Diceros bicornis minor: one gene and its partner. The protein of the gene in region 2 purifies or fractionates together with the protein of the main gene of each other region. This does not show direct contact. Links are inferred from orthologs where the notes say so. Each region holds a gene or a part of one and is shown on either strand. Other genes may lie near its edges.

Region 1 (7,360 bases), on a different chromosome or scaffold from region 2:
TGTGTAACAATTTAGTTAAACAAGGCCTTAAAATCTAATTTGAATTAAGAGTACACTCGGCAAAGCAAAATATAACCTAAGAAATAATTCTGTTATTAATGCTTGGATGAGGCGTGGAAAAACCTGGACACAAAGTCTCAACTCCAGTGTACTGAGTAACCGTAAGCAATATATGACTTCTAATTCCAGTTCTCTCAATCTGCCCAAGGATGATTAGAACAAGGATAACTAGTTCATGGGAAGTAGTAATCCATTATATAAATGCAAAATAGACTGATGGTGCCTTGCATTGTATCTTTTTAAGCCATCGTTCCTGTTTTCCAGGCTGCTCTTGTCCTTATGCCTTGGATTGAGGTTTATCCTTCAAGAAGCTTTCTCTGAACACCTTTGAGTAGTGTCAAGATAGGAAAGGGGATTTTCCCTGTATCACCTGTCTCCTCCCTTCTTCCCCATGCTGCATAGCACTTATCACACTGTGCTTTGTCTACAAGCTCCCTATTGCAGGTACCCTCTCTGATTCATTTTAGCAGTCCAGTAGTGTGTCCCCTTACCCCTCTCCAGATAGTAGAAGAAGGCATTAGACACAGTACATTGATGACAATTTATTATAATCTGTTGGCAGCACACAGTTAGATATTAATTAAACCAGAACTATGTTTGGTTTAGAAGTGGGCAATGATATGTAGCCATTCCATGGGGAACTGTGTGCACTTAATCATCATCATGATCTTTTAGTGTCTTGATCCTCTGCTTGTGCCGCTCAATTTCTTTCTGCAGATGCTCAATCTCCTTTACATGATGAGAGATCTCATCTTCATGGTGTTTCTTCAAGGCTGCCAGTTGTTCTTTAGTCCGCTTTCTACAAGGACACAGTCATTCTGGGTTTAATCCCAATCCTTCACCCCAAAGAGATCTCTATGCATAACCCATAATACCTAAGGCAAAGGACACAGGAGTCCCAATCCCATGCGAGTCTGGCTGGTCATCCTCTTCTACCTCCTTAAGCCCCACTACTGAAAGAATACACCATCTTAAGATGTATCCATCTTTAGATGACCCAAATGATTTCATTTTCCTGGTTCTAGTACCTGAAATTCCATCATTAATGAGCTAGAGTAGAAAACTCCAGAGAGGTGTGACAAATTTCCAATACCTTATTAGAGGAACAACCCAGAGAAGAGAATCCCTTTTTGTGGAAAAAAAGAGCAAAAGGAAGGAGGTCGACAAACGGGTATAGTTAAAGACAAATAGTCACATCCTCTCCCAATTTATCTAGGGCTTTCTTTGCCTAGAGAAATGCATGGCTCACTGTAAAGGCCAAAATGAAGGAAAAAAAAGAAGGGGTCTCTGCATGGTCAGTACTTGGCAGTCCAATTTAAGTCTCAAGAGGGGACGATTCAAACATTGGTTTGGCCACATTTGGGCCTCAGTTTTCCTTAACTGTATAATGTAGGGCCCAATTAGATGGTCTCTAAGGGCTGTACCTTGGCTCTCTGGTATGGCAGGTGCCATGGTGATGATTCTTAAGAGTGAGCAAGAGAGGGCAGAAGTGAACAGATAGGGCAAAGGAGAAGCAGAAGCGAGATTAGTCCCGTGCTGCTCCCCACCGTGAACAGAAGTCAGTAAAAGATAACTCAGGGCTGAAAAAGAGGGTAGACAGGCCCAGATTCTAAAGGAGAGAGAGAAATCTATATAGCCCAGCGGCTGGGCTGGGCGGGGCAGGGCAAAAGTCTCCAGGAAGTGTGTGTATGTGTGGATTCCAACCGTGAGCAGCTGCCACCAACCAGCTCATATGACCCACTCACTCTGGCGGAGACACGTGGGGGTCTAGAAACAGGTGAGAGGGTCTGAAGAGTCAGGGAATCCATCCCTGCGGGGCTTGCAAAACTAAGGCGTGTAGAGGAGAAAAGAGTGCGTAGAGGGGTGAAAGGTGGGTGAGGGCCGAGGGAGTCAGGCTCAGAGGGTCTGCAAGTATTGGACGGTCGGATCCGGGCACTCTGCGAAGTATCTGAGGGGCGTTTCGCACGACCTGGGGAGCATTCCACGGGTGGGGATGGTAAATGATTCAGGAAGAGTGGAGCCGTGGTTTGCGAGTTCTGGACACCCGCAGGTGGAAATGGCTGGCGTTTGGGGGCCTTGGGACATTTGGCAGGGCTGGGAGCGCCCTATAGGTGGCAACAGTCAGGACCTCAAGTGTTGGGCGTAATGGGTTCGGGGGCCCGGGAGTTCTGTTGGGGGATAGGGCACCCCAGGGCACCAGGGAGGGATGGGTGGGGCGACTGGAAGGCCCTGAGAGATCTAGGGCTGGACTCGGGACCCCGTGGGCCTCACCGGAAGTATCGTTCCTCTTCAGCCTGCTCTCTCTTTCCGAAGGCCCCTCCGCCCTCCCGGATCGAGCCCGCGGGGGCGTCGTGATCCTTTGACTGCGGAGAAAGACCGGGACATTGGTAAAGCGCGGAGGGGGAGATGGGATCCGCGCTCAGGGCTGGGGCAGCGGACACTGCCGCCGGCGTACCCGTTCGGAGCTGAAGCCTCGGGCTTGCATGGCCCTCGCGCCCCACACGCCGAGCCGCATCTGCGCCGCCAGAGCCGTGACTGCCATTGCTGTCAGTGCCGCAGCTCTCGGGTCACTGGAGGCGCAGCCTCTCTATAGGCGCTAACAGCGCTGATGGCCGGGCAGCCAATCGTTTCGGTGGAGAGGCGGGATGAACCTAGGAGTAGCGAATCATGAGAGGGAGGAGGCGGGGTTCCTGTAGTTCTCAGCGAATCGTGAGCGAGAGGCGGGCCTATTCTTAGCCAATTCCTAGCAAGGGCTCAAAGCCTAAAGGACTGGAGAATAATGGAGGAGATTGGAGAGGAAGGGGAGGAGAAGGTCAGAAGCCGGCATTTCGGCTCTTGGATTCCTCAGAGTGAGGCGTGGCATCCACTGCCACCCCACGATTCCAATCCTAAAATTGTTATTATTAAACAACCCAAAGGAAGTCTTCCTTTTCCTGGACTACTAGCGTCAATAAGATGGGTAATGGGCGTGGCGGGGATAAGTCCCGGATGCCCCGACTTCGGGTTGTTGGGAAAAAAATTTTTTATGTGTATGTATATGGTCTCTTAAGAGGTGTCAATGTTCTTTCGTTGCATTGACATTTCACTCTCAAGTCTCAGCTTAAGTGTCACCTTCTCAGAGAAACCTTCCCTGACCTCCTTAGTCATTCTATCATAGTTCCCTGTTTTGTTCTGTTTCTCTCTTTTTGCACTTTTCACCTTCTGAAGTTATCAGGGCCTTGATCAAATAGGCACTGAATTAATATTTGTGAAATGCATTAATACGTTAACTGTAATTTTGGCAATCTGGTGCAATGAAGTAGAAAAGAGCATAAGTAGAAGTCTAGGGAAGGCTTTGCCTTGATGTTCCTTCAGCCCTCTAACAAATGTGAACAAGACAGTAGTTTATAGCCTTTGCCTACCTCATTTTCTCTCTCTGGACCCAGTTTTTTTCTCTTTTAGATGAGAGGATTGGGCCAGATTATCTATCTTATTCATGATTATAAAAATACTTTCTTTGCCTTCTATGAAACTGTAGAACTGTTTTTGTTGATCATCTTTTGGTTGGAAAAAATACCAGTCCTAGTTTGTATGACTTAAATGGGAGGAAATGGCTGCAGGGCACATTTTCAAATGTTCACTGCAGAAAACTTGGAAAAACACAAAAGCAGAAGAATAGAAATAATCATCACTTACAAGCCCACTACCTAGTGATAATGATTTGGTGTGTTTCTAGAGAGAGAGAGATATATTTTAGGAAGATTGGCCCTGAGCTAACATCTGTTGCCAATCTTCCTCTTTTTTCTCCCCAAAGCCCCAGTACATAGTTGTATATCCTAGTTGTAGGTCCTTCTAGTTCTTCTATGTGGGACGCTGCCTCAGCATGGCTTGCTGAATGGTGCATAGATCCACGCCCAGGATCTGAACTGGCGAACCCCGGGCTGTGCAAGCAGAACACGTGAACTTAACTGCTGCGCCACCAGGCTGGCCCCTCCAGATGATATTTAAGTGCCATTCCTGTTTCAGAAACTCTGTTTCTAGTTCTCAGATACAGCTGTTTCTTAATTATCTCCTAGGCTAGGCATCAAGTAGAGGGTCTTTCTGTTTGTGCAAAAGATCCATTTAGGCACTAGGATGGCTACAATTTTAAAAAATGGAAAATAAGTGTTGGTGAGGATGTGGAGCAATTGCAACCCTCACACGTTGCTTGTAGGAATGTAAAATGGTTCAGCTGCTGTGGAAAACATCTTGGCAGTTGCTCAAAAAGTTAAATATGGAATTACCATGTGACTCAGCAATTTTCCTTCTAGGTATATATCCCCCAAAATTGAAAACTGGTATTCAAACAAATGCATGTACATGCATGTTCACAGCAACATTATTTCATAATAGCCAAAAGATGGAAACAACCCAAATGTCCATCAACTGATGAATGAATAAATGAACTGTGGTATATACATACAGTGGAATATTATTCAGCCATAAAAAGTAATGAAGTAATGATACATGCTATACCTTGGACAAACCTTGAAGATTATGCTAAGTAAAAGAAGCCAGATACAAAAGGTCATATATTGTATGACTGCATTTATATGAAATGTCCAGAATAGGTAAATCCAGAGACAGAACACAGATTGGTGGTTGTCAGGGGCTAGGAAGAAGGGGGAATGGGAAGGGACTGCTTAATAGGTGCCAGGTATCCTTCCCAGGTGATGAAATTGTTTTGGATCTAGATAGAGGTGGTGATTGCATAACACTGTGACTATACTAAAGGCCACTAAATTGTTCACTTTAAAGTGGTTAATTGTGTGTTATGTGTATTTCACCTCAATTAAAAAAAACAATTTACGAACGTAGATTAAAAGTGCCCCCTTAGGCTTCCAGCCCTTTAAGGGTCGCAAAGAAGAGGGCGGGGCTAGAGAGGGCCTGTAAGAATCACGTGAGGCAGCGCCTGCGCAGAAGAGTCACGTGGTGGCTGGGCCGGGGAAATGGCGGCTCCAGGAGAGAGTGGGGCTTCGGCCGGCGGAGGCAGCACAGAAGAAGCATTTATGACCTTCTACAGTGAGGTGAACGCCGAGTGAGGAAGAGTGGCACCCGGGCGACCCCGCTCGGGCCTGCTCTGCCAGCGGGTGAAGGCAGTGGTCCTCCTGGCTTGGACCGTTGGGCGGCTCCTCCTGTTCGGCCTTCGGGGCGGCGGGGGGCTGGGGGCGTGTGTACATCTCTCCCTGCTAGCTGCTGGGGGATCCCCTGGGCAACGGAAAAGGTCGGGGGAGGGGGGTCCGACGTCTGCGAGGAGACGGCGAGTGTAGCCAACGAAGTGCCTGGGCGCGCGCAGAGTTCCCCAAGTCCGCGGAGTCCGGGGCTGGCAGGGGCTGGGCCTTCCTGGGGGCGACTTAACCGTCTTGGCCCCCATTTTATTCTAAACAGCAGCGCTTTCTACACTTAGTTCTCTGTAATGAGTTGTATTAGTGGTTATTTCTGCCATTCGCGAACGCCAGGCACTGTGCATCATGCCAGGTAGGCATTATCTCCATTTTACAGATGACAAACCTGAGGTTTAGGGAGGTGAAATAATTTGTTCCAGGTCTTAGAGCAGATAGCTTGGTATCATGTTAGGACAGGAGTAGGGTTGGTCTGAGCCTCTTTTATATCGCATCTCCAGCGCCTAGTACATAGTGGTCGCTCAGTAAATGTATGTTGAGTAAATGAATGCATGAATAAGTGAAGAGCATGCCGTTTGGAGTCAGAGGACCTCTGATTGGATTTATGCAAGGCAGTTAATTTGTCTGCAATCGAACTCTTTCAAGGCATTGATTTTGCAGCTCCTCAGTTTCCACGTCTGTAAAACGAGAGTTAATATTAAAACAAGAGTTTTTTTTTTTTATAATTTTATTTATTTATTTTTCCCCCAAAGCCCCAGTAGATAGTTGTATGTCATAGCTGCACATCCTTCTAGTTGCTGCACGTGGGACGTGGCCTCAGCATGGCCAGAGAAGTGGTATGTCGGTGTGCGCCCGGGATTGGAACCCGGACCGCCAGCAGCAGAGCGCGAGCGCTTAACCGCTAAGCCACCAGGCCGGCCCAAAACAAGAGTTTTTATGAAGGTTAAAGCAATTAATGTGTATGGAAGGGTTTCATAAAATATAATAAAACAGGAGCATCTTTCTAAGAGTTAAAGCAAGGCTGAAGACGAACCTCGTAATGTTGGCGTGGATTTGAGGAGTGGAGTTGCTCCCCACCAGGCTGTGGACTGCTCAGAGTTAAGCAGCATGTCACATTCATCTTTTATGTCTGGTATTTGTAACAGTGCTTGTTACATAGTAGTTTCTCCAAAGTATTAACTTTAAAAACAGAAAGTAGCACATTCGTTATAGCCTGTCCTTTTGAAATGCCTGATTCCTTTGAAAATGTTGGTGCGCTGGTACCATAATTTATTGGCCTCTAATGACTACTTACTAATTATAGTGAAACTTGTTTCACTTACTCTCTCTTAGTTAAAAAAAAAAAAAAAGCAATCCTGGTTTGTTTGAATTGGACGGGGGAAAGAACCTAAAGGAGGACCCTTCAGTCATCATTCAACCAGTGTTTATTGAGCGCCTGACATGTACTAGGCTACTGCTTAGGTGCTGGAGATTCGGTAGTGAAGGACAGAGAGAAAAATCCTGTTTTCGTGGAGCTTGTGTTCTATGGAGAAGGATAATCGGTAAACAGATGTACAATATAGTGTCAGGTAGTGATAGGTGCTTTGAGGAAAAATAAGCCTGGGAAAGAAGGTAGAGAGTAGGAGGGAGTGGCATGCTATTTTAAAATGAGTGAAGAGGGAAGATATTGAGAGACAGTGTCTTTTTATGTTACTGAAATTCTTTCTAATCTTGTTTTGGCCATAGAAATAAAAATGTTATATAACACACCAGAGATTCATTCCAGTTAGCATTCTTATTCTGGCAGTGGCACCAAGGATGTTTTCCCAGGACTGCCTGGTGCCTGTTCTTAGCACTGTCTTCAAGTCAGGGATTTTTCTAATAACTCCATTAGAGTTAGGTAGGCAGAGTTATTTGCTCCCTCTCATATACATTTTTTTTTTTTTTTTTTTGGTGAGGAGATCAGCCCTGTGCTAACATCTGCCAATCCTCCTCTTTTTTTTTTTTTTTTTTGCTGAGGAAGACCAGCCCTGGGCTAACATCCGTGCCCATCTTCCTCCACTTTATATGGGATGCCGCCACAGCATGGCTTGCCAGGCAGTGTGTCGGTGTGAACCCGGGATCCGAACCAGCGAATCCCCAGCCACCGCAGCAGAGTGCGTGCACTTAACCCCTTGCGC
Region 2 (7,395 bases):
TTCCACTCTTGCCCCCCTACAATCCATTTTCTGCCGGCGGCCAGAATCATCTTCTAAAAAGTCTATCAGCTGCTACTTCCTTGCTTTCAACTCTCCAAGGGCTCCCCATGAAAACCATCACAACAGCATGTAAGGTCCTACAGGATCTGGCCCCTGTTTACCCCTCCAACCAGTTTCTGCCATCCTCCTAGCCTCTACTCCTTGCTCACTGGCCTCCAGCCACTGGAGTCTTGGTTCTTCCTGGTACATGCCAGATAAGTTCCTGTCTCAGGTCTTTGTATTCCCAGTTGCCTCTGGCTGGAATGCTCTTTCCTCCAGTATTCACACTGCTAGCTTCCTCCCTTCATTTGGATGTCATTCATTCAAATGTCACTTGTCTTCTCTGAAATTCTTTGTAAATACACTGCCTCCTGGCATTCTCTATCCTCTCATCTTCCTTTATTTTCCTTCCTGGCACTTATTACCTGACATTGTTATATATTTATTTGTTGATTAACTTGAATGTTCATCTCCCCCACTAATACATAAGCTCCTAGTCTGTCTTAGTCACCACTGCATCTGCAGAGCCAAGACAGTGCTCAGCACCTACAAGACACATGGAAGTAAATATTTCTTGAAAGCAACAATTAAACAAACTCTGATCTGACCACCTAGCTCATGCTCTTTCCATTACATCATGCTGCTTCCCAGGAAAAAGATAAACGTGTGCACAGTTTGTCATTTCCCCTCTAGCAGATTAAAAAGGTCTATGTCTGGGCCGTCCCGTGGCTTAGCGGTTAAGTGCGCGCGCTCCGCTACTGGCGGCCCGTGTTCGGATCCCGGGCGCGCACCGACGCACGGCTTCTCCGGCCATGCTGAGGCCGCGCCCCACATACAGCAACTAGAAGGGTGTGCAACTATGACATACAACTATCTACTGGGGCTTTGGGGGAAAAAAAGGAGGATTGGCAATAGATGTTAGCTCAGGGCTGGTCTTCCTCAGCAAAAAGAGGAGGATTAGCACAGATGTTAGCTCAGGGCTGGTCTTCCTCACACACAAAAAAAAAGGTCCATGTCTTATATACTTCTTTAAGCCCTACCAGGCCCACCATGTAGTAAATGCTAGGTAAATATGATGAAATGAAAGAGTGAAGAGCAACCACAAAAAAAGTTAAATAAGCAAGAGAGTTGATGGCATGGAGAAACTCTAATTTGTATTCTATGCCACCAATGACCATTCAGTGGTCAATTCTTTGTTTATTTCCAATGTGCCTATCCACCCAAGTCAGAGGAGTTTTGAAGGAAATAAAAATTAACCAAATGCAAGTCCTTGCTTCAAGGAGCTAACATACATGCAACTATCAAAATACAAATTTTAATATACACCTATGAAAGAGGTATAATTAAAGAGCTACAGGATTCCAAGGTGAGGGAAATTACTTCTGGTTGTGGGATTAACAGAAGAATGTGTGAAAGAGCTGGCAGTTGAAATGGTTAAACTGAATATTGATAGATGGGTAACAGTTGGATGGTAGCCTATCAACTCCTGAAAGACAAGAACTATATTTCATTCATCTTGGTGTCCTTAATGCCTCACAAAATGTCTGGACCATAACGACATTCAATAAATGTTTAACAAGCTTGGGAGGAGCAAGGCATTCCAGGCAGAAGGAAGCGTGTCGGTAAAATACAGACATGAGAGAATGCAGCATATGCATGAGCAAAATAAAGAGTGAGGACTGGCTAGTGAAAAGGGTTCATGAAAATGAATGGCAAGAACTAAGGTAGGAAACATAGCTTAGAGCCAAAACATGGCTTGCCATGAATGACAGACTAAGGGGTTTAAGACTTTATTATGCAGGCAAGGAGAGACCACTGAAAACTTTTACAAAGGAGAAGGTGACCTGAAGAAGACTGTAGTAGGAGCCCTCTGCTCGGAAAAATAAATCTATCACCACTTCACTCTTACTGTTTCAAATTCTACCATTGGAAATTTTTTTCTGTTAACACATAACCTCTCTAGGAATCTTCTTTATATTCAAATTCTCCTGAAAGATAATAGAAAAGCTGTTGTCATTCATTTATACTTTAGTATAAATTGGATAATCTATTTATCTTCTCCTGGCTAGACTAAGTACACAGAGCTATTGGGGAAATGGGAATTTTGACCGCAGATGGAAATATAACTTTTTGACTCTGAGACACTACCTTAGAAAGACAGAGTCTAGGGTGCATGGAAAAAAAGTTAATTAATTAATACCTTTGCTTAAGAGCCAACTCTGTTCTTTCCAAAAGCAGAACTGAGTAAAGATAAATACATAAAAGATATTATAATCTCCCATAGTGGGAACTACTAAACTGATGACCCAGAAAGTAAGAATTAGGAGAAATATGATAAACTGAAGAATTTTGAGGGGGGGGAAGGTTCTGTGGAATTTAGACACTACATCTGAGTTCTTTGAGTTTTCCTCAAAAGTGGCCAGTAAAGACTTTACCTAAATCACATTCAATCACAACTTCATGAACTGTGATAGACGATTAATATTCAAGGAATGTAATGGTGCAAGAAGAAATTTAAAAAGAAAACGTTAAAAATCCACACAAATGGTGTATGTACCAAAAATGAGAATCGCGAGGACAATAAACATGTGATAACCCTGGGAATTCCATCCAGACTTCATGGAAACCGGGTATCTCATTTGGATGGTTTTCTGCTTTCTAAAACTCAAATCCTCAACCCAGGCCACAGAGGGCTCGTTCTGCGGGCTGGCTGGGCGCTGGGTCCACCCGGGAACCCAGGCTCCCGCGGAAGAGAAGGTGGGACGGGACTCACCGCTTGTCGATGGCGTCGATGTTTGAATGGAGGAGCCACAGCTCCTCCGTGTTGTCCTGCCGGGAGGACAGGATCAGGTGGTGGCCAGTCAGACACAAGGTCCCCTCGACGGCGGGATAGAAAGGCCGGTGCAGCACCACATTGTCCACCCGTGGGGTCCTAATCAGCTCCGCAAACTCCATGTTCCCCAGCAGCCGGAGCCGGGGCACTGCCGGGTGGCGTGCGTGCTAGGCGGTTACACCGCCGCGGGGCTGAGGCGGAGAAGGACCCGGCGCTGGGCTGGCCGGAGGGGCGGGGAGGCCGGGCCCCGCCCCAGGCCGGAGTGGGCGCGGCGAGGCCTGTGGCCACGGTCACTGGCCGCGGGAAGCCCGCGCTGGGGCTGGGCCAGGCCGGGGCGTTTCCCCCGCAGCTCCCGCTCCCTCTAGGCCCGGGGCTCGGCCAGAGAGAACGCTCCGCCACAGGCCCAGCCGCAGCCGCCGTCTCCTGGGGACCCGGCCTCCGGCGGACAGGCCGAGGGGAGACGGAGGAGGCCGCTTTAGGGCCAGTTTCCAAGTCCGAGCCGCTAGGGACTCCTGACGGAAGGAGCTGCTCGCAGCCGGAGCCTAGAGCAACTCCGGGCGGAAGCGGCGGAGCTCGAAACCTGGAGGACGGGGAAGTCAGAGCCGGAAGTCGGTCCCCGCCTAGGTCCCATAAGAATGCTTCCGGAAACAGCGAGAATCGAAGATTTGTGTTCCTACCAGGAAAAAGTTCTTTCTGGCCTTCACGCCCACCGCTGCACCTCCACCCCCTCCAAATACTGTTCGTAAAAGGCCGGGGACGATGGGGTGACGAGAAGAGGTCGCTGACCTGCCTCCCTCCACTCGAGTAGTCATCCCTCCAAGGGCTCTCTTGAGGGTGGGGCTGCCGTAAATTGCAGCGATTTTCACCCATTCGCCGTGAAGAGATGGCAAGGGTGGGACCGAATCGGTGACTGACTCCAGAGAAGCCGCCAGGGGTAAGGGCGGGTCACGGGGCGGGCGCCGCGGACTCCCAGAGAGCGCCGCGCCGGGGTGCTGTGACCTTGACCCAGACGGAGGGGAACAGACACCCGTGAGAGGCACCTAGGTAGACGTACGTACAGTGCACAGAAGGGGAAGTGACTAATCCTGTCCTGGGAGGAAGCTCAAGCGACTTGCTAAAGCGCAGTTAGTCTGTAGCAAAGGCCGGACTTCCATCTAGATCTATGAAATCCAAGGCGTTGGGGCATTGGTCACCACCGCACAGCCTCCCCATGAAATACAACCCGACTGAACTACTCCCAGACACCTAGATTATGCCAGAAGTTTACTCAAATTAGTTTTCCTTGCTTGGTGCCGTTCTCCCCTTAAACTGTCATTTTCATTCTAAGATAGGGAATTAGGGGGGAAATATATAAGGGTTTGAGTCCCAGTCTGCTGTCACTTCATTAACCTTTGAAATCCTCACCATCTAGTACCTAAGAACAGCGAGTTGGCAAAAGTCTCACAGCAAAGACAAAATAAATTGCCTCAAATCTCATCATCACCCAACACATGTCCTTGCTTTTGTCCTTGCCCTTCCTAAAATGTTCTGGTCGTCTTCTCTTTTTTTGTTTTGAGGAAGATTGGCCCTGAGCCAACATCTGTTGCCAATCTTCCTCCTTGTTTTCCCTTCTTTCTCCCCAAAGCCCCGGTAGATACTTGTATGTCATAGTTGTACATGGTTCTGGTTGCTCTGTGTGGGATGCTGCCTAAGCGTGGCTTGATGAGCAGTGTGCAGGTCAGTGCCCAGGATGGGAACTGGGGGAACCCGGGGCTGATGAAGCGGGTCAGGAGGACTTAACAGCTACACCCCCATGCTGGCCCCAAATGTTCTCTTCTTAAAACAAAACGGTTTATAAGATTGTTACACCTGAGTCTCGTTTTATTTTATTTGTCTGCAAAAGAAAAACAGGAACCAACAGAGAAGCGAGAATGAGGGGAAATAACTTATAAAGCTATTTTTTTAATTGGAATTTTTGTTGTCCTTCCACTATGTGGTTCATTATAACAATTACCAGTTGTGGAAGGGAGAATTTACTTCCAGAATGAAGAATCAGGGAAAGTTTTACAGAAAAGGTATCATTTGAAAGGAGGACATTGAAGGATGAGTAGGATTTACACCCTAAGTGGGAGTGTAACCAAGATAGATGTCAAGTTTAATGATATCTACCAGAGCTAAGGAAAAATTCTTCAGAAATTTCATGACTTTTTTCTTTTAGATTTCCAGAAGAAAAAAAAAGCCTATGAAAGGACTATTGTGTCATTAAATTTAAAATGTTTAATGTTCTGTAAAGACATAAACTTTTTGCCCACGAGAGAAATTATCAATATCATGCTGGGTTGTTATAACGGAACACGGTAAACTTTCAGAAAATTACATCTACTCTAGGTTGAAGCTCAGCATAGAAAGCCATTGAGATCTCAAGAAAACGAAGATTCAATAGTCAAGAATGGAGGGAGTGGGGACCACAATATGTTAACTTACTACATGAGCAGTAGATGGCAGTAGAGTTCGAGGTAATGGGATAGGCTTCCATTCCGTTGACATGATTCAATGAAGCTTTAGTCAAAGTCATTATCCAAATTCCCTGGATGTAAAGGTCTCAGAGGATTCTGATAAACCAAAGAAGGTGATGGCATTTATAATTCATATAAAGCACTCAACACCTTACAAATATTATTATTTTTATCATCTTTTGTGAGATAATAAACAGCATTGATAGGTAATCTTCTAGAAGTTATTCTGTCAAATAGTCAGCCAGCATGTATTAAGTGCTGACTTGTTCATCAGCACTGTGGGAAATGGAAACAACAGATTTGACACAGCCCTTGCCCTCCAAAAGTAATAGCTCATTTGGGAAGGCCGACACACCCACACAACTAATGAACAAAATAAGAGAGTAAGTGCTAAATTTTGGAGTACAGATTTACTTGCCTAGTTTTGTGTTTCTCTACTAGGCCTTGAGTAGTTAGTAGAAATTGAGGCAGTTTGAAGGTAGTTTGAAGAAAGCAGGTCAAAAATTGCCAAAAGTAGAAGGAGCATCTAAAATGGAGAAGACGCTGCCTGTGTGCCATTGATGAGCAGCTATTCTCCATGTGCTTTGTAATTATACGTGGACTGTAGGCACTTGAAACGAACCTGATAACCTCATGCATGTCTTTCTTGTGTTCTCTATCCCCTTCATCCCCCAAGCAAATCAATCACCAAATTGTTGATTGTATCTTCTAATAGCTCTTGAATTCCACCGCTTCTCTCCATTCCCAAGGCCACTGCCGTAGTTCAGGCCACCATCGTTTCTCACGTTCTGTTACTTAACAGGAAAAGCCTCTCAGTTGGTTCCCTGTCTTCTAGTGGGGTTCCCTTCCAACCCATCTTTCCACTTGGCAGCTAAAGCCCTATTTGCTGTTCCAAGTTTCTGTTTTTCTTTTCTTAACTTATAAGTCCCTTTGTGATTTAGCCCCTTAGGCAGTGATCAGCATTGCAGATCTTATCTCTCCTCCTCCCTCCCTACCCAGCGCAACAGCCCACATAAACCCATTCCTTGTGATTTTCACGCCAACTGTTCTTAAATAGCTCACAGTTTCCTTTTGAGGTTTTGCACTCAGAACCTTTTTACCAAGTGGAAGAGTAGGGCAGGGACCAGCATCATCAGCATTCCTTGGGAACTTTGTTAGAAATGTTCCACTCCATAGCTACTGAATCAGAATCTGCCCTTTAACAAGATTCCTAGATGATTTTTATGCACATGAAAGTTTGAGATAGCACTGCTTTAAAGAATCTCGGTGTTCCTTCTGCCTATTATATACTCACCTCATTCCTAATACCTTGTCCCTTGACCTGCTAATTCCTATCATCCTTCAGATCTCATCTCTATGTCACTGCCTCTAGGAAGCCTTCCTTGATTTCCCTTCAAAACTATGTGCTCCACATTATATTGGCTTCAAAACCACGGAGTCCACATGATATGTATATATGTATACACACATATATATCACATTTTATGTGATATATATAATATATAAATGTGATACAGGGCCGGCCCCGTGGCTTAGCGGTTAAGTGCTTGCACTCTGCTGCTGGCCGCCCGGGTTCGGATCCCGGGCGTGCACCGACGCACCGCTTTTCCGGCCATGCTGAGGCCGCGTCCCACATGCAGCAACTAGAAGGATGTGCAGCTATGACACAAAACTATCTACTGGGGCTTTGGGGGGAAATAAAATAAATAAATAAAATCTTTAAAAAAAAATGTGATACATATAGCATATATCATATATATATATCATATTTTTGAGTGTTTACTCTGTGTTCAGATGTTGTGCTAAATGCCTTACATGTATTGACTCATGTAGCCCTTCTACAATTCTCTAATGTTGGTTATGATTCTTCTTTTACTGATGAGGAAACTGAGGCATAGAGCTCTTAATAACTTTTCCATGGTCAGACAGCAATAAGTGATGAAATCAGAATGCAGACCCAAGCAGTCGGGCGCAGACTCTGTGCTCTTCGCCACCGTGCTACATTGCCACCCATGAGACCTGAGCCCA

The links. The genes of interacting proteins can lie anywhere in the genome.
Region 1: the proteins of MTMR9 (region 2) and ATP5IF1 purify together in Homo sapiens (affinity purification with mass spectrometry; 5 studies listed by BioGRID and IntAct, with this or other methods). This does not show direct contact. The link is inferred for Diceros bicornis minor from reciprocal best matches to the Homo sapiens genes MTMR9 and ATP5IF1.

What each region holds. Positions count from the first base shown.
Region 1 is NC_080752.1:43,652,403-43,659,762, reverse strand, and holds ATP5IF1 (ATPase inhibitor, mitochondrial), read right to left. Parts: upstream 2,625-7,360; 5' UTR 2,603-2,624; coding exon 2,516-2,602; intron 2,424-2,515; coding exon 2,332-2,423; intron 860-2,331; coding exon 712-859; 3' UTR 588-711; downstream 1-587. Other genes in the region: DNAJC8 (dnaJ homolog subfamily C member 8), read left to right, coding at 5,028-5,105.
Region 2 is NC_080750.1:62,993,875-63,001,269, forward strand, and holds the start of MTMR9 (myotubularin-related protein 9), read right to left. Parts: upstream 3,081-7,395; 5' UTR 2,995-3,080; coding exon 2,813-2,994; intron 1-2,812. UniProt on the Homo sapiens protein: Acts as an adapter for myotubularin-related phosphatases. Increases lipid phosphatase MTMR6 catalytic activity, specifically towards phosphatidylinositol 3,5-bisphosphate and MTMR6 binding affinity for phosphorylated phosphatidylinositols.